Drosophila melanogaster: one gene and its partners. The protein of the gene in region 1 interacts with the protein of each later gene in a pairwise test. Each region holds a gene or a part of one and is shown in the gene's direction. Other genes may lie near its edges.

Evidence for each region. Proteins that work in one complex are often made in the same cells at the same time.
Region 2: the proteins of CG32772 (region 1) and CG2889 interact in a two-hybrid assay, tested with the Drosophila melanogaster proteins (one large-scale study listed by BioGRID).
Region 3: the proteins of CG32772 (region 1) and odd interact in a two-hybrid assay, tested with the Drosophila melanogaster proteins (one large-scale study listed by BioGRID).

What each region holds. Positions count from the first base shown.
Region 1 is NC_004354.4:4,907,522-4,915,313, forward strand, and holds CG32772 (uncharacterized protein), read left to right. Parts: upstream 1-1,580; 5' UTR 1,581-1,798; exon of another isoform or gene 1,799-1,930; 5' UTR 1,931-2,237; coding exon 2,238-2,276; intron 2,277-3,330; coding exon 3,331-3,657; intron 3,658-4,859; exon of another isoform or gene 4,860-4,990; intron 4,991-5,221; coding exon 5,222-5,354; intron 5,355-5,423; coding exon 5,424-5,608; intron 5,609-5,682; coding exon 5,683-6,262; intron 6,263-6,324; coding exon 6,325-6,623; 3' UTR 6,624-7,640; downstream 7,641-7,792. Other genes in the region: CG6927 (uncharacterized protein), read left to right, coding at 1-1,086.
Region 2 is NC_004354.4:10,470,831-10,479,013, forward strand, and holds CG2889 (uncharacterized protein), read left to right. Parts: upstream 1-3,107; 5' UTR 3,108-3,255; exon of another isoform or gene 3,256-3,845; intron 3,846-3,885; exon of another isoform or gene 3,886-3,958; 5' UTR 3,959-4,187; coding exon 4,188-4,310; intron 4,311-4,371; coding exon 4,372-4,792; intron 4,793-4,850; coding exon 4,851-5,295; intron 5,296-5,352; coding exon 5,353-5,565; intron 5,566-5,777; coding exon 5,778-6,321; 3' UTR 6,322-6,371; downstream 6,372-8,183. Other genes in the region: nocte (no circadian temperature entrainment), read right to left, coding at 1-708, 788-953, 1,050-1,139; CG2887 (uncharacterized protein), read right to left, coding at 6,565-7,593.
Region 3 is NT_033779.5:3,602,412-3,609,991, reverse strand, and holds odd (odd skipped), read left to right. Parts: upstream 1-3,235; 5' UTR 3,236-3,633; coding exon 3,634-3,706; intron 3,707-3,892; coding exon 3,893-4,998; 3' UTR 4,999-5,768; downstream 5,769-7,580. UniProt on the Drosophila melanogaster protein: Pair-rule protein that determines both the size and polarity of even-numbered as well as odd-numbered parasegments during embryogenesis.

The sequences.
Region 1 (7,792 bases):
CGCATCAAGGCGACACTCTATTGCTGGCTCAACCTTAAGAAGTTCCCATTCGATGAGCAGCACTGCTCGACGGTGCTGGAGAGTTGGATGTACAATACGTCGGAACTGGTCCTCCACTGGGAGCAGAAGCGTCCGATAACCTACGATGGGGCACTGCATCTCACCGAGTTTGTGCTGCAGCGTTCCTGGTCAAACGAGACGGTAATCAATGCCGATTTGAGTGACCTGCGTCATGGAGCCTTTGCCGGCAACTACAGCTCCCTCAGCTTCACCGTTCACCTGACGCGAGTGGTTGGCTTTTACCTGATGGACTACTTTCTACCCTCCATGCTGATTGTGGCCATATCCTGGGTATCGTTCTGGCTGCAAGCAGATCAGGCGCCGCCGCGCATCACGCTGGGCACCAGCACCCTGCTGACATTCATTACCCTGGCCTCGGCACAGGGAAAGACTCTGCCAAAGGTTAGCTACATCAAGGTGTCAGAGGTGTGGTTCCTGGGCTGCACCATCTTCATATTTGGCAGCATGGTGGAGTTCGCCTTTGTTAACACGATTTGGCGTCGTAAGAAGAGTGTGCCCGTCAAGAAACTGAACAGCAAACACATCCTGAAGTCAACTCTATCGCCGAATCTGCTCAGACGACGCAGTCACGCCAGATCCAGATCCTTTTCGGGCACGGCTCTGCATAAGACAGCGGATACCGGCTCGCTGGGCGGTGCCGGTTTCAACAATTACCTAACCGTCAATTTGCCCATCACCACGATTAAGGAGGGCCAAGTTCTGGATCAGCAGAGGACCAGCCGCGTCGTCCAGAAGATGGATGTTAACTTTGTGGAGAGTGCCTTTGGATCCATGGGCTCTGCCCAGTCCACTGGAGCGATCAGTGCTGCCAGCAGCAGCCAAACTTTGACCAACAATAACCGAACGGAGAGCGCGGGGCACCAGGAGGAGATCGATCTGAGTGGCTGGACCACGCTAACGCCCCAGGAAATAGCCATGTGGATTGATAGTCGAGCCAGATTCGTTTTTCCGCTCTCCTTTCTCGTCTTTAATCTGTTTTTCTGGACATTTGTCTACTGTATTTAAAAAAAGGTCCATTTCATTTTATTATTAGATTACACAGTAGATTTAATATTGTGAAAAGTATCCAATTTAAAGTGTTTATTATTTGTACCCATCGTTTAGCATAGTTTGTTTAATTATTGTGAAAGTTTTGTATTATGTTTGTTTCACTTTGTTCTGTAAAATGATTTTATATTTATTCTGTTGTAAAATAAAGTTCATGATTCTATGGCTGCCTAAAAAACACCATCAATTATTTAAATAAAATAACCTATGATAAAATAAATCTTTCGGACTTGCAATTAAATATTAAATAAATAATAAATTAAAAAACTTGTTTTCAACAACGATTCCATTACCCGCCTCGTTTTCGATTACGGAAATCGATAGAAATATCGATAGGCCAGGCCAAGGAGCACCGGCCAAGCCAACCTGTGGGTTAGAGCAGCACAACTATACCGCGTATTCTTATCGTATTCGTTTTTTCCCCACACATACACACACACGGCTCACGCATACAGCGCAACAATAACATCGGGCCCCAAAAAAAAGGGAAAAAAGACGACGGACAAAAACTTCGTCGTGAATTGTAAAATACAAAAAAAAAACGCATTCGAACGCGCTGGTTTGTTTTTTTTTTCACGTGTAACTACGCCAAAAAAAGGGCAAAGGAATTAAGCAAAAAAAAGAAGCAGAACTTCGAAGCAGCAACAACAACAGCGCCGCATTTTTGCTTGTATGTGCAAGTGCAAGGCAAACATAAACAACGCGCGTGTGTGTGTGTACCACGAAAATATCGTATAAATCAAATTTCTATATCATTTATATAGTTTTTTTTTTGTTTTTGCCATCATAATATGCCATATAGCGATCACCGAAATCCAAACGCAAACCAAACTCCAAAAAGTTAGTTTCAAATACAACCACACATCGTTTGGATCGTGTTCACAAACTTATAGTAGGAAGGAAAAGGAAAAAGATAGAAAAAAAACGAACTAAATAATAATAAACGAAAAAGAAAAACGGCGCTGAATGTTAACCGGTAAAGATAGCGGTAAATTGCGAGGGAGAAGGACGACAACAACAACAACAACGACCGCAGAGGGGGCAAAAGTCAGCAACAAAGTGCATCCTCCTTCTCCTGCTCCCCATCCTATTCCTTATTTACTGTTATAATGGACACCATCTGTAGATTGTGCTTCCAAACGGCAACGGTATGTTAACAAAAAAAAAAAGATATACACACATGTGATTTAGGTATATACACTTTGTTATTTCTATTGATTTTTTTTCTTTTGGTGGAGTTTAAACAATTGAATTCGCGCTACTGTTATTGTGCGGGCGGGTTGTTGGCGCAGGGGGCGGGGTTCAAAAGCGCGCGCATTGCCCCCCTTTCCCCACACACATACAAACGCACACACACAGAAATAAGAAATACACATACACATGCGACCCCAAACTATTGCTGAACAATTTTTATTTTTAGCCAACTCAGCCCGAAAAGTTGTTCAAGCCGACAACTTGAAAAAATATTATTTTTACATTTTGCTTACGCTCGCCACTCGCTTTTCACTTTGACTCCTTTTCAACCTATTCCCCCGAACAGGCCCCCCTCTTTCAGCCCCCTCCCGCCGCCCATGAACCGCACAAAAAGAAATACATATTAAAACAAAATGACAGAAATTGCGCCAAGGCAGCCAAATACGCAGTGGCTGCGCGTTAATTTAGTGACAGAGGGTTTACTATATTGGGCATCTAAGCCCAAAAATTTAAAGTTAAGCGGTTATAAAACTAACAAAACAGATCTAACTTTGCTTGGTTTTTAGTTCATTATTTAAACAATTACCAAATAACCCCTTTTTTGTAGGCGACGCCTCTGCCGCCGCCGCTGGCAGAGCGGCGGCAAAGCAAAACAAAAAGCGAAAGAATAACAAAACGTTGTACCGAAGAAAAAAAATAACATGAAATGAAAACAACAACAACAAAGCAACGAGCTGCTGGTGCTGTTGTTATTGTAGTTTCTTTTCTTTCTTTTTCGCTCTCCATGTGTGCGTGCCTGTGTGTGTGCGTGTGTTTATCTTCTTGGCTCTTATTTCTAGTTGGTGGAAAAGAGAAAGGGCTAGTTGGCATGGAAGGGGGAGGGTATGTGTGGAATAAGATTGAGTTGCCACAATAAATAAAGAGCATTATTGGTTTTTTTTTTCCAATTGGAAGCACTCTCTAATTCACGTGTCCTGTTCTGTTCTATTCTATTCCCCCGCCCTACAGTTGTTCCAGGTGCCCGGCTATAGCATACCCACGTGCGTCCGCTGCTCGGAGCAGTTGACAAATAATTCCAACTTCCATCAGTCGGCGGCGGCCGCTGCAGCCGTCGCTGCCTCTGCCTCGGCCGCAGTTGCCGCCTCTGCAGCAGCGGCGGCCACCTCCTCGTCGACGGCCTCCTCCAGCGACAGCGACGCCATCGCGCAGCAGCAGCAGCATCAGAATCCGCAGCAGCAGCAGCATCAGAACTCGCAACAGCAACAACAACAACAGCAGCAAATGCAATCATCCAGTTCTTCCGAGAACCTACAGTCGCAGGACGACTCCGAAGACGTAAGTCCATTTCAGGGATTGGGATACCAAGGCAGGGAGAGTGTTGCAAAGGGCATAGTGAGTGGGTTGCACTACGTGTAGTGTTACGAGAGGCATGGCAAGAAGTGGCAGCGAATACAGTGCTGCAAAGGGCTTACTAAAGGAGATAAATAAAGTAAATAACTGAAGGTCGTTCTTATTTTCAACTAAAATATGAACGTCTTGAATATGTATATTAATATCTATGAATAAATTTAAAATTTAATCCTAATGTTTAATAGTCCACGAAAAGTGTTCTATGGTTTAGGAATCCAATCAATGCAATTGCCCATCAAACTATAAATGATTCAAAAAAATTGACAATTTAAACCTAATTACAGAGTTCACTGCAATCCTCAGTAGATGCATTGCATTTGGAATTATAGGGGTTTGAAGACCCCCATCAACCGTTTTCAGAAGAGTGCTTTACTTCCCAGGGAGTTCGACTCCTGCTCCTTTTGCTGCACTTGTTTATTATTGTTGTGCTATTTTCTCTTCATTTTCTTACATTTCACTACTACTCCCCCGCTCACAAAAGTCTTACATATACATATACATAAATGCACACGGACACACTGCACATTCATAGCCGCTGCTTTTCTTCTTCACTTCTTATTTCGCCGTTTCTTTGCATGTTCTTGTTGCCTTTCTTTTTCCATCATGCAACAGAGAATTGCAAAAAAAAAAAATGTATAAATAAATGTAAAATTGCCTTGCGACGACTTGGGAATGCTCTATTGCAGACATGTTTAGATACTATTTACTATTGCTGCTATTTACATAAATTTCAAAAAAAAAACTTCAGTACAGTCTCATTCCATCACACAGTCGACGTGGTAGTGTTGGAAAGTTCTTATAGAAGATTAAAAACGGTAGGCCCTACAGATATGCATTACAAACGGGTTAGAAAAGTGTTGAGCGTGAGAGTATTTTCTATTCCACTTGCTACATTTCGCACTGCTCATTTTCTTGTTTTCCTTTATATTTATATGTATATATATATATATATATAGATATATGTATATACACATATATTTTGTGCTTCTTTTTCCATTAATATCTGCTCTGTCGACGTCGACGTCGAAGTCGACGCAGCTCGGCGTTTTTGTGCGCTGTGTAAAGCGGAAAAAATTCATTTTCAGTTGGCGCTTTTGGTGTGTGGGTGTGCGTGGCACGCAGAAAAATAAATAAAATAATTATAATAAAAAAAAAGCTCGTGAAAAATATTAAATGTAACTCAAGTGATTCCCCAATAAACAAACTGAATTCGCACGGGAATTTGCAATCCGTTCTTTTGGCCGCCAGCTTGTTGAGCGTGAGTGGGAGTGGGAGGGCGATAGTGACACAGTGATGTGCACTTGGCTACTTATTCGTTAGAACTATATGCATATATAATGTACAGCTTAGAAAAAAGGTTTTTCGCATAAATTTATAGTAGGTTGTATTAAAGTAAAATGGCATATCATATATAATGCCTTTCTGATGGAAGGTAACCCGCGGTAGAAGGCAAGCCCTTTGCAACTAATGTTCGATTTGTTTCTTTAAGGTGGATCTGATATTCAACGAGGAGGGCTCCTGCCCGCTATGCAACAAAACTTTCTCGCGCAAATCCTCGCTCATGACGCACATACGAAATCACTCGGCGGAGCGTAAGTTTGTGTGCACCTACTGCCACAAAGGTGAGTCCCATATGCCGTTCGCACACATCATCTGGTTCTTAACAATCGATGTACCTCTTGGATTTTCAGGCTTCACGCAGGCGGCCAACTTGCGGAACCACGAACGCATCCACACGAACGATCGGCCATATCAGTGCGTGGACTGTGGCAAGACCTTCACGCAGATCACCAATTTGAACAATCACCGCCGGCTGCACACCGGCGAACGGCCCTTCGTTTGCAATGAACCGGAGTGCGGTCGCAGCTTCGCCCAGGTCAGTTCCAAGATAAATTGATAAATTGCAGAGGATTTATGATAATAACGGCTCGATATGTTCTCGCATTGCAGGTGACGAACCTGAACAACCATATGAAGTCGCACCACAAGGTGCAGCAGTACTGCTGCAACGTGTGCAACAAGAAGTTCACGCAGGTGACCTCGCTGAACCAGCACCTGCAGGCGCACGCTGGGGTCACCGGCTACTACTGTCCGCGTTGTCCGGAGAAGAACTTCAAACTGCAGTCGCAGCTGCATACGCACATGAAGACCCACGGCCTGGCCTTTCCGTACGAGTGCGACAAGTGCGACGAGAAGTTCCTGCAGCAGGCCCATCTCGACCAGCACCTCAAGATGCACGACGAGTTCAAGTTCAAGTGCGACATCTGCCCGAGTAGCTTCAATCAGGAGTCGCTGCTGAAGAAGCACGTGCAGCGCCATGTCGAGGGTCGCTACCTCTCCTGTCCGGTGGCCAATTGTGCCGAGTCCTTTGCGGTGCGCCAGCACCTCTCCAAGCACCTGCTCACCAATCACGCCCACCACGAGCTGCCGCCTCCGAAGCGATCCAAGAAGGCGGGCACGCTGCAGACGTCGCAACAGCCGCTGGCGATGATCGGCCAGCCGTTGTCACTGCAGCACACGACAGGGCAACGTAAGTGCTCACCATTCACTCATTCACTTTGAATCTCACTACGCCTTTCGTTGCATATCCAGGTGGGCGTCCGCCGAAGAACAAGAACAAGGCGACAACGCTGGCCGCCACGGCCATCAAGATCGAGATCAACGAATCGCTCCACAGCCAGCATATCAGCAATGTCAGCGGCCTGTCCATCCAGCAGCAGATCAATCAGCACATGCAGCAGCAGGCGGCACAGCAGCAGGCGCAGCAGCAGGCGGCACAACAACAGCAGCAGCAGGCGGCGCAACAACAGCAGCAGGCGGCGCAGCAGCAGCAACTGCTGCACTTGCCGATGGGACAGGCGGTCAAGGCGCGTTTCATACCCACTAAGTAGGCTAGTTAAGAATGGAAAGAAGGTCTCTTTTAGCTTAAGCCCCGAACGATCAGCTGCTAAAGTCCCTGATTAGCATAGCCATAGCCAAAGTAGCATCACATTCAGCACATACACACGTAAAATATGTTAGATATATGGCGCGGATGTTTTGGAGTCTCTGCAGATCTCTAAATACTTTTGGGTGTCTGAAGTTGATGTAGAAATCATTCTTTATATGCGTTACCCGTGGAGTTAAGCGTATGCTGGATTGGTGAAAAAAAGGTATGGAACAGGCAGTAGGAAGCGTTTTCGTCCTTGAATTCTGAATCAGAATGGAATGGGGGAGTTAGTCGAGTTCATCGATTAAAGCTAGCTTTTAGTTTTTCTGAGATGCACTTGTCCTACTCTCGCATTGAGTTCAGCATCAACTTTTTGGGTATCAGAATCCACTTAATTATCTTGAAATCGGCGAGTGGACTTCCAAAACATCCCGAATTTAGAGTCGGCGGCAAGCTGCTGGTTCAGTTTGGTGTCTGTCTCCCACTTCCTGTTTTGAATTCAGCAGCCAAAGCAATAGAGGAACCAAATGCCCCTGAATAAATTTCCAAGAATATTAGCAGCAATGCATGACATCGAAAGAGATAAGGAGAAAAAGCAGCAGCACCAGATGGACAGACAAAAACACAACTGACTTATAAAATTATGCACATAACACCCACATCTATATATACATTATATTATATAAACATGAGATCGGGTTGAGAAATCTGTAAAACTTAAATCGAATTAAAATTTTATTGTAATGCAAAGGCGCAGCGAAACGGAAAATATAATGTTGAAAAAACAAAAAAAAAAAAAAAACAGAAAGCAAATACAAATTACCTACAATTGATAGTAATTACGCATAGAGAAAAGTAACGAAAACAAGAAGTGAAAAACAATTCGATTAAATTCGGTATGTATTTATGTTAGGCATTAGCTTAAGTGTTTTTATTTTTTTTTTAATAAACCATTACAAAAAATCAACATTAAGAAACGAAAACAAGCCGACAAATTTTCATTACAACGAAAGATTTCTTCTGAATGGGTGAAATTTGTTATATATTTTGAATATATATATATAAATATTTCAGAAGTGACACAAGCGATCAGTTTTATATAATACATATATGTATATATAGTTTATTTGC
Region 2 (8,183 bases), 5.6 Mb from region 1:
GTTGATGCTGCTGGTGGTGCTGCTGATGCTGGTGATGGTTTTGGTGGCCGGCATGGTGCACCTGATTCTGGTAATGGCTCTTGCCCGCTCCAGATCCTGAACCCACACCCGCTCCCGATCCTCCGCCGGCGCCGCTGCCAACTGTGCCGTCCAGCGTGGGAAATTCGTACTGGAACTGTGGACTCTGATAATGGGGGACCACCTGCTGTTGCTGGCGTCCATAGTTCTGACCGCCCGAGCCCCGCTCGTGTCCTGTGGTAATTGCAGACCATGTCTTGGGTGAGTTGACTGAGTGTCCGCCCGATCCTGACCCTGATCCACCTCCTACTCCTGACGATCCGCCGCCGCCCGACCCTCCTTGTCCGCCTCCGCCGGAACTGCCCACGGAGTTGTTGATTAATTTGAAGTTCTTGTTGCCGCTGCCTGAGCTGCCGGCGTTGTTGTTGCTGCTGCCGTTGTTGCTGTTGACAAACTTTCCGGCGTTAGGGCCGAGAGCGACGTTATTATTGTGCTGATGCTGGCTGTGAGTCAGCTGCTGGGATAGATGGCCACCAGCAGATGAAGACGCAGTTCCTCCGCCGCCTGATCCCGCTCCGCCGCTCGTTCCTGAACTTCCGCTGTGGGCAGTGGTGTTGTTGTGGCTAGTGTTGGTTCCTGCCGCGCCAGATCCCGCTGCTCCGCCTGCGCCCGCCCCACCAGATGTGGCTCCTAAAATGGAAAATTCACCCAGTTAAAGGTACATCTTAGTACACACGCTTTCAATAAGATAAAATCGTAGAACACCCACCTTCGACTGAGACTAAGAGATTGTTGTTGCTGCTGGTGTGGGTCTCGGCCTTCAGGGATGGCAAATTGGCTGGTGGTCGCCTAGCGGACGGCACTTTGCCCAAGATTTGCATTCCATGTTTACGTGGCACTTGATTCTTTTGTGCAGATGGTTCACTTGACTCGCCCTGCAAACAATAAGAACAAGTTGGCGATCAGATAGGTTTGGATCTATCAAGATCTAGATGTAGATCTAGATCTAGGTCTAGGGGCTCGCTACTTACGCGGCTATTCTTGTACATGCGATTTATATCTAACGCTGTGAATTTGGGCTTGGCATTTCGCTCTCCCCTACTTCCCCCCAGTGTACTCATGCTGCCAATAGATCCTCATTAGCGTTAGCTTCCTTCTCGCCACCGCCGCGCTCCTCGTCTTCCCGCTGCGCTGGAGGATGGGCTAGGATGTGGCTGTGGTTCTTGACGAGAATGAGTTTAAGGAGCTGGGATCGCTTTTGGGCCGAAGCTCCTTGTTTCAGTCTTTCTGGTGGGCTGCAAAATACAAAAGCGTAGATAGGCATTTAATTGAGTATAGGTGCAGGCGTAGCGAGGCGAGGCTAGTCAGTTGCAAGTGGGTGGTGCTCCCGACAAATTGTTTTCAACACGCTGGTTATTGTGTGTCCGGGAACTCCTCTATTTAGCCACCCCCAACCGATCCGCACCACTAACGCTTACAGAGGTGGATCTGTAGCGAAAATTGGTTCTTCTTAGAAAGATATTGCAAATAATTTGGAAAATAACCTCTTCAAACAATAATAGGTATGGGTTTCAACTAAACCGAGTTTTAGTAGAAATGCTTTTGATATTTCATTTCCACTGAAACTAAAGAAGTTTCTTGGTAGTTTTCCAACACATGCTGTTGCGAAATACGTTCAAGTTCTTAATGCTTCGTTAAAGTAACAACTAGAGTGTAATTCCATTCGACTACTACCATTCGAAACTGTTTGTAGAATCATTTGGTATTTTGTTGATATTGCGTTTATTACGAAAACGTTTGGGGCAACTATTTCCCAGTTTCGCTCCCCCCTTTGATCCGACACTGAATGCAGGCAATGTTTGGTGCGAGCAGGACAGCCAGTGCCTCGCAGCACACGCAACTGAGAGGCTGCCTTGGGCGGGTGACAGCGGAAGCGGGACAGCTAGATAGATTTACCCACACACACACACCAGCGCCAGCAGCGGCAGAAGCGGCAACGCATTGAAAGAATTTTTTGCGGTGGCGTCTTGTAATAATTGCGGCAGGGGGCGTGAAGGGGCGGCCGAACAATGGCTGACAACTACAGCAACAATAGAAAAAACGGGGCCAGTAAAATCCTCGCAACAAGAGCGACAACAACAAAGGCCGGCATTTAAAATGTAACCAATTTGACAGATGCAAGTGGGGGGAGTACAAGACAATCTAAACGCTTGGCAACAATTCTATGTCTCCTTTTTGTAATAACAACCATTCACAAGCACAACGCACACTAACACCACGCAGGCACAGGCGCACACATCACGCACACACACACACTTACGTTCGCAGAAACCGAGAGGATTTGATAGTTATTATTTAATCGACGAGTGCAATTTTTTTTTTTGACCACCTTTTGTTTTACAGCCGTATCCTTTTATTAATTTTGCATGGCACAGTGGCTGGCAAAGGCAAACAAAGAGGAGAGACGAGTAAAATATACCGTTTAAACAGCACGCACGCACACAGCAATACACTCGGGGAGTTTCGTTTGTTGGGCAGCGATGATAAACTGAATGGAAAACGCTTGAATTTGTTTACTTCGAATGTTTCGCGGTCTGCTGGCACACTTGGCCGCCTGTATGTTGGTTATTTAACTGTTAACTTCGCGGAAATTGATATCTTTTGATTCTGCTTTTCACCGTCCAACATAAAGTTTGCCGCTAATTCTTCTTCCTCGAGTTCTTCCTCTACCACTTCTCACTTTTCGAATGTATTGCGTGCGTGAGTGGTGTGGAGCGCGGCGTTGCCACCTGGTCCGTTGGGATCCAGCCAGACCGCCGAGTGAAACTAATTCCGGGGGTGGCAGTCGCCTGGCAATTATTAAACAATTAGAGAGCGTGCTATTTAGCGATTAAACGGAAATTAACACGGACTCTATGCATCGATGCCGACAAAAAGAGAAAACGGACCACGATGACCTGCCGACGACAAATGCAACGCTGTTTGCGATATAGAGCGGGACAACATGACTAGCTGAACTTCCCTCCCACTCCCACACGTCGAATTTGACAGAACCGACAAAAATATTTCTTTGATACAATGCGTATTTTCTACAAACAAAATCACAGATTTACAAACCCGCTGTGCAATTAAACATAATTTAGCAAACAAATCTCGGTTCCGGCCTACTTCCAGAGCGAGAGCATGAGAGACCATAGAGCTTACCCTTTCGCACGCAGAGCACACACCGCAAACACAGTTCGTTGCTCCTTGGCTTCTTTCTTTCCTTCGCCTTTTTTTTGCACTCTTTCTGGCGCTTACTCAGCGCCCGTTTCGCCGCTTGTTAAAACACGGGACGAAAACAAAAGAGAGCGCAACCAAGACGAGACGTGCCGCTGCTGCAGTTGTTGTTGTTAGTCGCCTTTGTTCGCCAGAATCTTCGATTTGGTTGAATTTCGATTTCGATTTGGTTGCGATTTTCGCTATGTTGCGCTGGCTTTGTCAGCGCTCTCGCTCCCACTCACTTGCACTGCGCTCTCCCACTCTCCGCTCACTCGCGCCGTCCCTCTCGCGCGCTGTCGCTTTTTTGCAAGTGTAGGTGGAAAATGGTATCGGGTGAGGAGGCTTCGAGTAAACCCGTTTGAATTCGCTTTTTCCACGGGTTTTTGCCTTTCCTTCGCTAGGTTTTAGCTCTGCACACACACTACACACGCACACGAGTTGCGTTTCTTATTTGTTTTGATTATTTGCGTTGCGTTCTTTTCACGTAATACGTAATTGTCCATTAGTTTTAAATCGTATGTATTATTTTTTTGCCATTTTACGGCAAGCGTTGCCAGAGTTGTGTGGGTCGATTGGCGTGCTGCCTGACCGTCCGCAGAATGCCATCGTTTTGATGTGTATCCAGCGATATATTAAGTTTCATATTTTCGATTTTTAATTAATGGATAATCGTTTACAGCGTATTTTGCAGACAATTAAAAACGTAGACCATAAATTGTAAGAGAAATTAAAGAGAAATACTCAACGATCAGGGTGGCCACCCCGCAAAAAACTCCTGAGATGAAGTTTTGCCATTCACAATTGGATTCTGTTATCGATTCACGATAGGTGAATTATGTTGTTTACAACGAAAAACTGTTTAAATTTTTTATTTATTTGACTTTGCGTTGTGGTTCTGTTCGCGCGAAATGATTTGTCGCCTTTGCCTGCGATGTCTTAGTCCCGGAAGCGCTGTCTTCCTCTTTGAGACGGACGATACGCTTGCGGAGACGCGCCTGGTCAAGATGATTGCGAAGTTTCTGCAGCTGGAGGTGAGTGTATCTGGCAAATACCAATGGTATCAAAACAATTCCAATAAGCCATCCCATGCAGATCCTACCAGACGACGGCATCTCGACCAGCGTCTGTACCGAGTGCTGTGAGCATCTGGAGGACTTCAATGGCTTCTGGCAGCTGGTGGAGCAGAAGCAGTGCTCACTCAAGAAGGAGTTCCTTACCGTGGACGTCGACTGTGCGGCCATGAAGTGGACGGGCGGTGTGGACGTGGACGTCAACATCGACGAACTGCCGCTGGCGGCTGGCGACATGGACGAGAAACCGTTGGACCTGCACAACCTTAGTCTGCTGGGAAGCGTGCTGGACGTGAATGTGGACAGTGTGGAAGTCAGGGAACCGATCAAGGAGCAGCTGCCCTGCGAGGAGGAGGAGGACGAGAAGCCCTGCCTGCAAGCTAGTGATAGCGAACCGGAGGTGACCGAGGGGCAGCCGGAATCTGAATCTGACTCCTCAGATGGTTATTATCTTAATGTTTCCCAAGGATTAGCCGTAACTAAGTTCCTGTTCCATTGCAGATGAACCCCTGGTCCGTCTGAAATCGAAAATGAAGCCCAAGCGCAAAACCTCGGCACGTTCCTCCAAGGATCAGGGTCCGATATCGCTGCAGCAGGAGCTTGCAGATCTGCTCGACGATGGTGGCAAGCGTCGGCGCAGGAAGGCACCTGACCAGCGAACAACCACCGAGTCGCAGGAGTCCGAGCTACAGGCCGTTCTCGAGCGCAAGCCCAAGGGCTGCTCCCGTGCTCAGCTGGCCAAGAGCTACGAGAAGGCCATTGCTAGCTACATGAGTGCAAGCTGCGACCTGTGCGAATTTAGTGCTCCCTACCTATCCGAATTGAAGACCCACTTCCTGGAGGTGCACCAGCGCGAGTACTACATCAAGTGCTGCGGCAAAGTCTTTACACGCGCTTCCAAGCTGATGGACCACATCCGCAAACATATCAACCCCAAGCTATTTACGTGAGTTTGAAGCCCGAGGGTTCTGTCTGTTGCTACATAGACTTTAAAATCCCATAGCTGCACCATTTGCAAGAAGTCGCTCAACTCGCAGGACTACTTGGCCACTCATATCGAGACGGTGCACAACAAGGTGGCTCAAATCGGCAAGGTGCTCAAGTTCCCGTGCCCCAAGTGCGAACGCACCTTCAGCAGCGAGCGCCGTATGGCCAATCATCTGGCCAAGCACGACACCGATCAACTGGAGCACACCTGCGAGATCTGCTGCAAAAGGTGAGAATAGAGCAGGGTCTCTGATCGAATTGGAATTCTTGCCCCATATTTGAATTAGTAATCTTTATTCATTCCACACGCAAATGAGAGGGATAGCTGTCTACTTATTCCGCACTCACACTGTTTCGAGAATAGCAAGAAAGAAATAATTTTTTTAAGATAAAAAAACTGTCTTGCAAGTTGAGTATTTGATATGAAATTATCTGTTACAGCTTTGCCAATGTACACCGCCTGCGAAGGCACATCCAATCCATCCACGAAGACCTGCATCGTCACGTTTGCGACATTTGCGGGAAGAAGTTCAAGTTCAAGCCCTCCTTCGAGCGCCATTTGCTGGAGCACCAGGGCGTCGTGGCCCCGGCTGTGGAGTGCCCCATCTGCCGTGTTTGGCTGAAGAACGAGCACAGCTTGCGCCTGCACCGCTTCACACACGACAGCACGGACACCGTGTGTCCGCATTGTGGCAAGACCTGCACATCGCGCACAGCGCTCCGCGGTCACGTCAAATATGCCCACAAGCTGACCACCAATCTGCAGTGCACGTTCTGCGAGAAAACCTTCAAGCAGCAGCGCAACCTGGACGAGCACATGGCCATCCACACGGGCCTGCAGCTGTACAACTGTCCGCATTGCCCCAAGGAGTGCCGTTCCCGCTCCAATATGTATGTCCACATTAAGCAGCGTCACGCGGACGAGTGGCTGCGCGCCAAGATGGCACGCTCGCACAATCCGCAGTTCAAACCGGCCGACGTTTAAACCTGACCCCTCACAATTGTGTTTAATCATTATACGTATAATTAAACTGTACTTCACTGGTTTCATTCTTATTAGAGGTATTTGTAGCGGACAATGCTTGTTAGAGGTAGATTATAAGATCTTTATTGAATCACATAGAAAAAAAATATGTAATTTTATGTGGAGCACAGATGATTTTTTGTTGTATGTATGATCCGTTGATCCGTTCATAAAGACGGATAACATCTCCAGGTGTCCATTCGATCAGTTTTGCAGAAGTCTGTCGAGCGAGGATGCGAGTTCTTTGGATATGGCGTCTGGAAACTGGATGGAGAACCTGACGACGATGGAGCCGCGACGGGAATTATTAATGGAATCGGGCAATCCGTAGCCCAGAATGCGGCGCACGGATTTCGGACTGATTACCTCGCCCACGTCGGTCTTGAGTTCCATCGGCCTGCCAAGAAGCGTCGGCACCATCACGTGTAAACCGCACAGAGCATCCTTCAGCGAGATTTCGGCTGTGTACAGCAGATTGTTGCCATCGCGGCGAAAGATTGGGTGTGGCTTGTCCCGGATTATAAACACGACGTTGGCGGGCTCAAGGTTGGGCAGTTGAATACCCTCATTGGGAAAGCAGATCTTGGTGCCAGCCTTACAGCCCGGAGGTATCTTGACAGTGAGAATTCTGTCATATTGTACCCCATCAACGCCGTTCCTACCCGAAGCCCGGGAGATCTTCATGCGCCTGTTGCACCCGTTGGCAATGTCCTCCAGAGCAACGTATATTACATGTTCGATGCTTGACTGGGGTGACTGTTGTTCGCAACGACGTTTAGGCGCGCCCGCTCCTCCACCCAACAGGACGTCATCGTCGCTGTCAAAATCGTTTTCGATATCCTCGAAGAACGTAGAATATGATTCGCTGTTGTCGAAGAAACGTCCAAAGTTGGCCCGCGGGTTGTTCTGGCGACCACCGCCACTGCCACCGCCACTGCCACTGCCACTGCCACCACCACAGCTACCAAATGCCGTTCCATCGCCGAAACCGCTACCTTGATTCGCGGTATTGCGTCGGGTACCCTTGTCATTGCGGGAGTCGTACGATCCGCGCTTCTTTTTGTCTGATAGGACTTCATATGCCTTGGCCACCTGCTTAAAGATCTCCTCCGCCTGAGGGCTCTTGTTTTTGTCCGGATGGTAGCGCAGCGCTTGCTTATGATATGCCTTGCGGATTTCGCCATCATTGGCAGTGCGCTGGATGCCCAGTATCTTGTAGTAGTCTTTAGGCATGGTTTTTTACTCCAAATGTTTTACGTACACAGACGAACAAGTGCAACTCCTTCGAAAATTTAATCGAATTGTAAAAGGTATTGTTCCAATCAGAATGTTGCTTAATTTGAACAACACTGCTACGATTACTATATGCTTACTATTTATTTATGCTTCGATTTAGATTTTATAGCCTAACGCCCTTTCTTTTAGTTTTTCTATTGGTCTGATTTTGGTTAACTTATACAACAATATTTTCGCTGCATAACTTTAAAAAGGGAGTGGGACATAACAAGTTTTGAATTCAAGAACCGATTACTTTCGATATTTACCGCCATGCTCAGTGCCATGGTTACTCAAAAATCATCGATTGCTAGCTGCGCTCATACGATAGTTGCCATCGGGGGTCGCTCATCACTGCCGGCATCAAACGGTCACATCACTCTCAATATTAATTGATAAGCAAAAAATTGAGCAAGTTCTCGCATAAACTTTGCAATCGGAAAAGCGTAGTTGTGATAAAAACAAGTAGAATAACAAAAACAAAAAAACAACAAACAAAAAAAAGTAGGTTCAAAAAATGGAGAGCGAGAAAATCTGTGACCTGAAAA
Region 3 (7,580 bases), on another chromosome or scaffold:
AGGAAAAACTTCGAGATTTCCCTACAAGTGAAGGTCACCAAGTCGAGATTCCCAAAAAAAAGAGCCCTACTTTATTTTCCACGGCTAATATAAAAAGTGATTTTGGTGGAATAGCGAAACCCCTGGCATATGGCCCACTAAAAAGTCATTTTACAATTATTACCGATGACTTCGCGCACTGCGTAGCTGACATTTCTGCTCTAAAAAATCTAATTTTATTCGTGGAAACACGAAAAAATACCATAAAATATGCATGGCAATGGTCCAAAAAAAGAGCAGACCAAAAAAAAAAACAGAAAGAACATTGCTAAAAACCGGGTCACAGTCCGGAGATCCGAGAGTCAAGAACCAAGGGTCTTCTGCGAAGTGTCTTTGGGCGATTTTATGATGCCAAAGAAGCGACTAAGTAAGTTGTCATTTTCGGTTTATGATGATTTTGTGATTTTTTGCTCTCGTTGTTATATTTTTTACGCTCTACATATTTGTACTTCGATTTTCGATTTTTTTTTCGCAGGCCAGGACCTCCGCAAAACAATGGCAGACTACTAATGTCGAGCAGGCCGAGAGTTTTATAGTTTTTTATGGCTTTATGGCCGAGCCAATGACTTCTTTATTGGTGCAGGTCCTTGGCGCGGAGGAAGCGTTTCAGGTCTTTCCAAATTATTTTTTATGGCCATCGTTCCTGCTTTCCGCATCCCTACGATTTGGTTTCCGTTTCCGAGTGTCGGAGGATCTCTCTACTATAAATCTCGCGTTTTCCACATGCAAATAGTGGGACATGTGTTTCCCCCGGGAGAGGGCTAATCCTTTTGGCCATGTGTTGACAGGCGCAACAACAATAGTAACAATATTAGTAACGACAACAAATGGATATAGCAGGAAGTCAGCCAGTGCGATGCCATATATCATGTGCTGGGAAATATTCGGCCTGTGTCTTTCATGTGTCTCCACTCCGCTGGTGTTTATCTATTTATTTATTTATTTGCCTTTGTACACTTATGACATGATGTTAATTACCGCTCGCGACTCCACAGGCCGAAAGGCAGGGAACCGAAAGGGTGGGCGGAGTCCGGGCCGTCACTTTGAAATGGAAAAGTTCGCCGACTGTTTGCCAACCGTCAACAGCGGCGACAATTGCCAAACGCCGAGGCTAAAGCTAACCGACACTGGCAAACCGACGGTACATCCGATCCGATGTTGGAACGGATCGAAAATCAAAAATCGACAATCCGAGAGTTCCAGACACACGCACTCTGGGAAAAAACGTCCTGCAGCAGGACCTTTGCCTATTGATTCAGGCTGTTTGATCATTGGCTCGCCGCCGCTTGGGAAAGTTTGTACTAAATGTTGTGTACATATTGCTTAATTTAATCACCCAAAGTCAATCCTGCCAAGGACCGCTTGTGACGGAGTGTGTCGCAATGGGCTTAGTCTCAGGATCCTCGGATCCTAAGTCCGTATACGGGTAAAACCAGTCAATGGGAATGTTTCTTGTTTTGCCAAGTTAAAGGATTAGTCGCAGATCCATTGCGGAAATGCTTCACCTGGAAAGTCGACAAGTCAAAGTCATGGGAATGTACGGAATTCGGAAGCAGGATAATAGGATATGCATTATCCATGTTTTGTCGGACTTGGGAAATATCTTATAGTTGGCGGAAAATCCAACCGAAGAATAGGATTTAATTCGGAAGCATAAATATGGCATGTGCAATTTAAAACTATTCATTAATGAGGAAAATTCGTATTTTCTTGAATGCTATGAAATATTTGTCTTTTTAAATGAGATATGAAAAATATTAATTATATAGAAGCCCGAATAATAATAATAAAAATTGTAAAGATATTTAACTACAATATCCTATAAATAACAACTACATTAATTTGATGCTTCAATAAATTTTGATTGGAAACATTCAACCCGCAGAACTTATATCTTTTAACCTTTTCCTATGACTTTACCTATTTCTAGTTTCCAAGCAATTTCCTTCAAAATATGTTAAGAAAACTGCCCATAAAGTGCACCTGCTTGTCTCGATTCAATTACAAATTATTAAATAATTATCCAAGTGAGTAGCATGAAGCATTTCGAATGAGGAACTCATTAAAGATGATTTGACAAGCTCGAGTCGCACTTCAGTTGAAAACGGTGAAAGTTCAACTATTACTTAACAACTACTTAAACAACTGAATTACAATAAATACAATACTGAGTAAAATAATTAAAAAAACTCGAAAATAAATGGTGTGTGAAAGGCATACCCAAAACTAACCAGTAATTGTGTACAATCCTTTTAATAAAGTCTTTCAATTACATTACCATTACCTCAAACTCGTCGTTAATTTGCTGTAAAATATGTCCGGCTTATCCTGCCGGAAACCCTTTTAAAAGCCAATCAATTTTCGCTACAAACGGCCGTTTCCACCCACTCGAAACTTTTATCGCCATCGCTTTGAAGCGGCTAATTGAATTCCAGATTAAAGTGTAAAGCAAAATGGGGGGGAATAAAAAAAACTGATTTGTATTGCAAATTAAAATTTAAGTGAAAACGAATCAGGCGCAAACACAAACAGGGACAATAGATTACAATATCCTGCGGCGCAGACAGCACGACATTAAAAAGGCACGAGGAGCAGCGAGAGCTGGCGCGGAATGGGTATGGACATGGCAATGGAGGTGGAAGGGACGCGCCAGGACGACACAGGACCTTCGTGCAGCTGCTGCTCCTGCTGATGGCACATGCGCCTGGGAGGGCTGCGTTTCGGGATTGGGACTGGGATGCGGGCTGGACTCCAGCGATGGCTGCCTGCCATCAGCGGCAGAAGCAGCAGCAGCAGCAGCAGCTACAGCAGCAGCAGCAGCAGCAGCAGCAACGGCAACGGCAGCAGCAGCAACTACGGCAGCAACATCGGCAGCAGCAGCAACACCAACAATATCCCAGGCTTGCGACCGTCAGGCCAACGGTTTCCGCTTGCTTACTGCTGGAACGGAAAAAGCCAAGGCACATATATCCATGCACATCCACAGGCACATTCGGTCGGAGCCACATCCATGGGATAGTAGATACCGAACGCTGAGGGCCAATCCGAGAGCAGCAGGTAGGCGTGGACGTATCTACCATTTCCAAACAACTTCAACCCCGCCACAGGCAGCTGCCGTTGGTCGGGCCGCTCGCCACCCTCGTCGCCCTCCTCCGCACTTCTCGGCCGGTTCAAAAACGGGTCGCCCTGCCAGCAGTTGCAGTCAGTTATTAACGAGCGCTACTCCCAACAGCAACATCGCTCAGCGGCAGCAGCAGCAGCAGCAAAAGCAAAAGCAAAAGCAACACTAACAACAGCAACACGAGTCACTCAAACGTGGAAGCGAGACAGGAATATCAGCACTCCACTCGCCTCGTTTCACTTCGATTCTCAAGCGTTTGAGTCGGAGAGCGGCGAACGGCCAACGAATTCAGTTTGTGTCGAGACGTTGTCGGTGGCACGTCGCATCCAAAAGAACGCTCAGTCAGCTGGGAAATATACTGAGAAAAGATACATTCGTAGATACAAGTGCTAAGCCAAAGTGAACCGTGCAGTTCGCGCAACTAAACAATTTTAAGCCAAATAAAACTACACAAGGCCAACAAAGACAGTATAATGTCTTCCACATCGGCCTCACCCATCAGCAACATAACCGTGGATGACGAGCTCAACTTAAGCAGAGAACAAGGTGGGTTCAAGTTCAAAACTGGCTCAGAACAACTTGGCAAATGCCGACGGCAAAGCGCATTACTCTCTAGCACTTTTTGACTAGTTTCAAAAAATGTTCCATTAATATTTGAAAGTAGTCTCACATAGCATTGCATTTATATGAATTGAAAACTAACCGTGGGCATTTCTATTCCTTCCTTTTTAGACTTTGCTGAAGAGGATTTCATAGTGATCAAGGAGGAGCGCGAGACAAGTCTCTCCCCCATGCTGACGCCCCCGCACACGCCCACCGAGGAGCCGCTGAGGAGAGTGCATCCGGCGATAAGCGAGGAGGCGGTGGCCACCCAGCTGCACATGCGACACATGGCCCACTACCAGCAGCAGCAACAACAGCAGCAACAGCAGCAGCAGCACCGCCTGTGGCTGCAGATGCAGCAGCAGCAGCAACAACATCAGGCTCCACAGCAGTATCCAGTTTATCCCACAGCCAGCGCCGATCCCGTGGCCGTGCACCAGCAGTTGATGAACCACTGGATCCGCAACGCAGCCATCTACCAGCAGCAACAGCAGCAGCAGCAACATCCGCACCATCATCACCACCACGGCCATCCGCACCACCCTCACCCACATCCGCATCATGTGCGTCCCTATCCCGCTGGCCTCCATAGTCTGCATGCCGCGGTCATGGGTCGCCACTTCGGAGCCATGCCCACCCTGAAACTGGGTGGTGCCGGTGGAGCGAGTGGTGTACCCAGCGGCGCAACTGGCAGCAGTCGGCCAAAGAAGCAGTTCATCTGCAAGTACTGCAACCGGCAGTTCACCAAGTCGTACAATCTGCTCATCCATGAGAGAACCCACACGGACGAGAGGCCTTACTCCTGCGACATCTGCGGCAAAGCCTTCCGGCGACAGGATCATCTGCGGGACCACCGGTACATCCACTCCAAGGACAAGCCCTTCAAGTGCAGCGATTGCGGCAAGGGTTTCTGCCAGTCGCGCACCCTGGCCGTGCACAAGGTCACCCATCTGGAGGAGGGTCCGCACAAGTGTCCCATCTGCCAGCGGAGCTTCAACCAGCGGGCCAACCTCAAGAGTCACCTCCAGAGCCACAGCGAGCAGAGCACCAAGGAGGTGGTGGTGACCACCTCACCAGCCACTTCACATTCGGTGCCAAACCAGGCATTGAGTTCGCCTCAACCTGAGAATTTGGCACAGCATCTGCCTGTCCTGGATCTATCCTCGTCATCCTCGAGCTCAGAGAAGCCCAAGCGGATGCTGGGCTTCACCATCGATGAGATCATGAGCAGATAGATTGAAGGACCAGCGAAACCCGGTATCCGGTTTCTTTTGAGACATTCTAAAAGAGATTCAGAGAGCTGGACGTCCGCCAGGCATGGGAAATGCCTGGAATGGAAAACCAAGCGAGTCCAGCCCGCATTCTGGCCAAAGGTGCAAGTGGAAAATCCTCGCCAGCAACTCGTAATCGCAACCCAGTGAGCAGAAGAGTCATCCTCCGTGCAATCGGTTCTATGTAGCAGATCCCAATTGCGTTAAACAAATGCCAAAGTCAAATAGCAGAGGAAAACTGATGAAAAATCCAATGAAAAGTATTGCTAGCACAAGCCTCCTACAAATCGATTCCAAAACACACACACACACACACAACTGTAAACTATAAACTTTAATAAATAGCACATAATTTATATTGTAATCTAACTATTATTGTATGTACCTTATAGTCGTAGTAGCCCATTCAGTTCGTAGTGCTTATGGAGTAAACCAAATGTTATGTTACAATAGCTCAATCAAACAAACCTCAAACCCGCTTTGGTTATTGAAAGACTGTTTTAATTATTATATTTAAATAGTACTTGAATAAATCAATCGATCGATTGTGTAATGTTAAACCCCGACGAGTGTCATGATTACTTACTGTTTAGACTTAACAACTTAATTGTCGCTATAGCAATTGTGACTATGCACAACGATCTCATTGTCGTCTATATGTATGTCTGAAACATTCGTATTGATATGAAGTTATCACAAAAATACGTAAATATAAACGCAAAGTAATTTTCAACTGAAATTTAATAAGACTTTTTATGAATACGGTGGATTTTGTGTTTCCAGGTATTTGGCAATGGCAATTTCGCCTTGATTTATCATTACTTCTACTGGCAACTTGATAATCTTTATGGTGTACTAAGTTAAAGTTATCTGAAAAGATTTAAGCAGCAATTTTTTGATTACCTTCTACCACCTACTGACTGATTCAAGTTCCAAGCGGACTGAATGATTTTGATCTACTTTTAATCACTTTGAAATCTTTCTTATCCGCTGACTAAATCCCACGCCATTCCGATTTGGGAATTTTCTCATGCTGCGAATATAACTCAGTAGACTGAACTCGTAGGACCATATAAGTTGAACCATCAAACAGCAGCTGTCAAAATTTATTAACCATCCGAATATAACTCAGTTTTTATGCAGATCTCGATTTGCGCATTTTTAAGCAGCTCTATTATTTTTCAGGTTGCCGATTAAGTAAGCAGAAGTCTCGCCACCAAAAATATTCAAACTGTCGCAGAAGTTAATTTATGAAATCGAATCGAATTGAATTTGATGTCAGTTTTGCTATGATTTTGTCATGAATCGGTTTCGATTTCGGTAACACTATGGTTATTGTTTAACTTTGAGGTGTGGTCCAAATATTTATGGCCTGTGTTTCAGTTTTGGGTTTAGTTCAGTTTTCATTGTGGCTTCTCTTGAAAATCGGGAACGTGCCAAATGCCTTGCAAAAGGTATGTTTGATTTCCTTTAATGGTGGTTTTCTTTTCTAGTTTCTTCCATTGGCAATTGCATTTCTCTTAGCACGCTTCTTACTCAGAACTGTCAATTTCAGATTGTGATCTTTGTCTCAAAATCGAGCATAGGATTGTCTTTAATTGAGGCCTGAGGTCGTTCTGGTTACCCCCGGGGGGAACCCGCATGAGGGGTCTGCATCTGCCTCATTTGCTGCTCGATTTCCATTTCCATTAGCATTTCCATTTTCCATTTTCTCCACCTTGATGACATACTCTCGGGCCTTATGGCCATGTACAATTGATTTGGGCCCTCTCATTGTGTTGGCTTTGATTTGCTTTGTTTTCGTGCCAGAAAAGTGCCAACGTATTCGCCAATTGATGTCTACATAGATGCCTTTTTTTTTGCCCAGGATTACTTTTGACAAGTATCCTGGCCGCGCCCCCTTGGCCATGCATATCCTGCTGACTTTGGCCAAACCTTAACCTTAGTCTTATCTGGCCGAGTTGGTCGGGTGGTCAACCGTAGGACTTGTGTTCCGTGTTTTGCAACACTTCGCCGCAGGCAGTCTAAGGACCTCGAGGATCTTGGTGTCCTGGCATTTCGACACACCTTGTCCATAATTGCACTGCGTACAACCAAAATATTTTGTGAAAGTCACAGCGGGAGGGCGAGTTATCCCGACCAGATTGATATGTGTCCGCATGGGGTTGTGAGTCCCTTTTTTTTTGGGCCATTTTGAGCCACAATTAAACGCATCGGTTCCGCAACTAGGGTGGCATGCAGCTCCGTGTCCTGTGGATGTCCTGCCATTGTAAATTGTAGTGGCAGGACGTGCTGGAAAGTCGCCTGCCAAAAGTGAGCCATTTACTGCCACAGGGGCAGTCTCCTCCTATTTTCTGCTCCTACCGAGCATGCAATTTTAATGAGCTGCCCGGGGGAAAAGGAAGGATCGGCATAGGGGCACATCCCATTGTCCAGGACACGTTCGCACTTGGCCCTGTTCGCCTTTGGGCCGGGACCACCCTGAAAAGCCAGAATGATGATGTTGTAAGCCGGTTGGTCGACAGGTCGGCTGGACGACTGGTCAA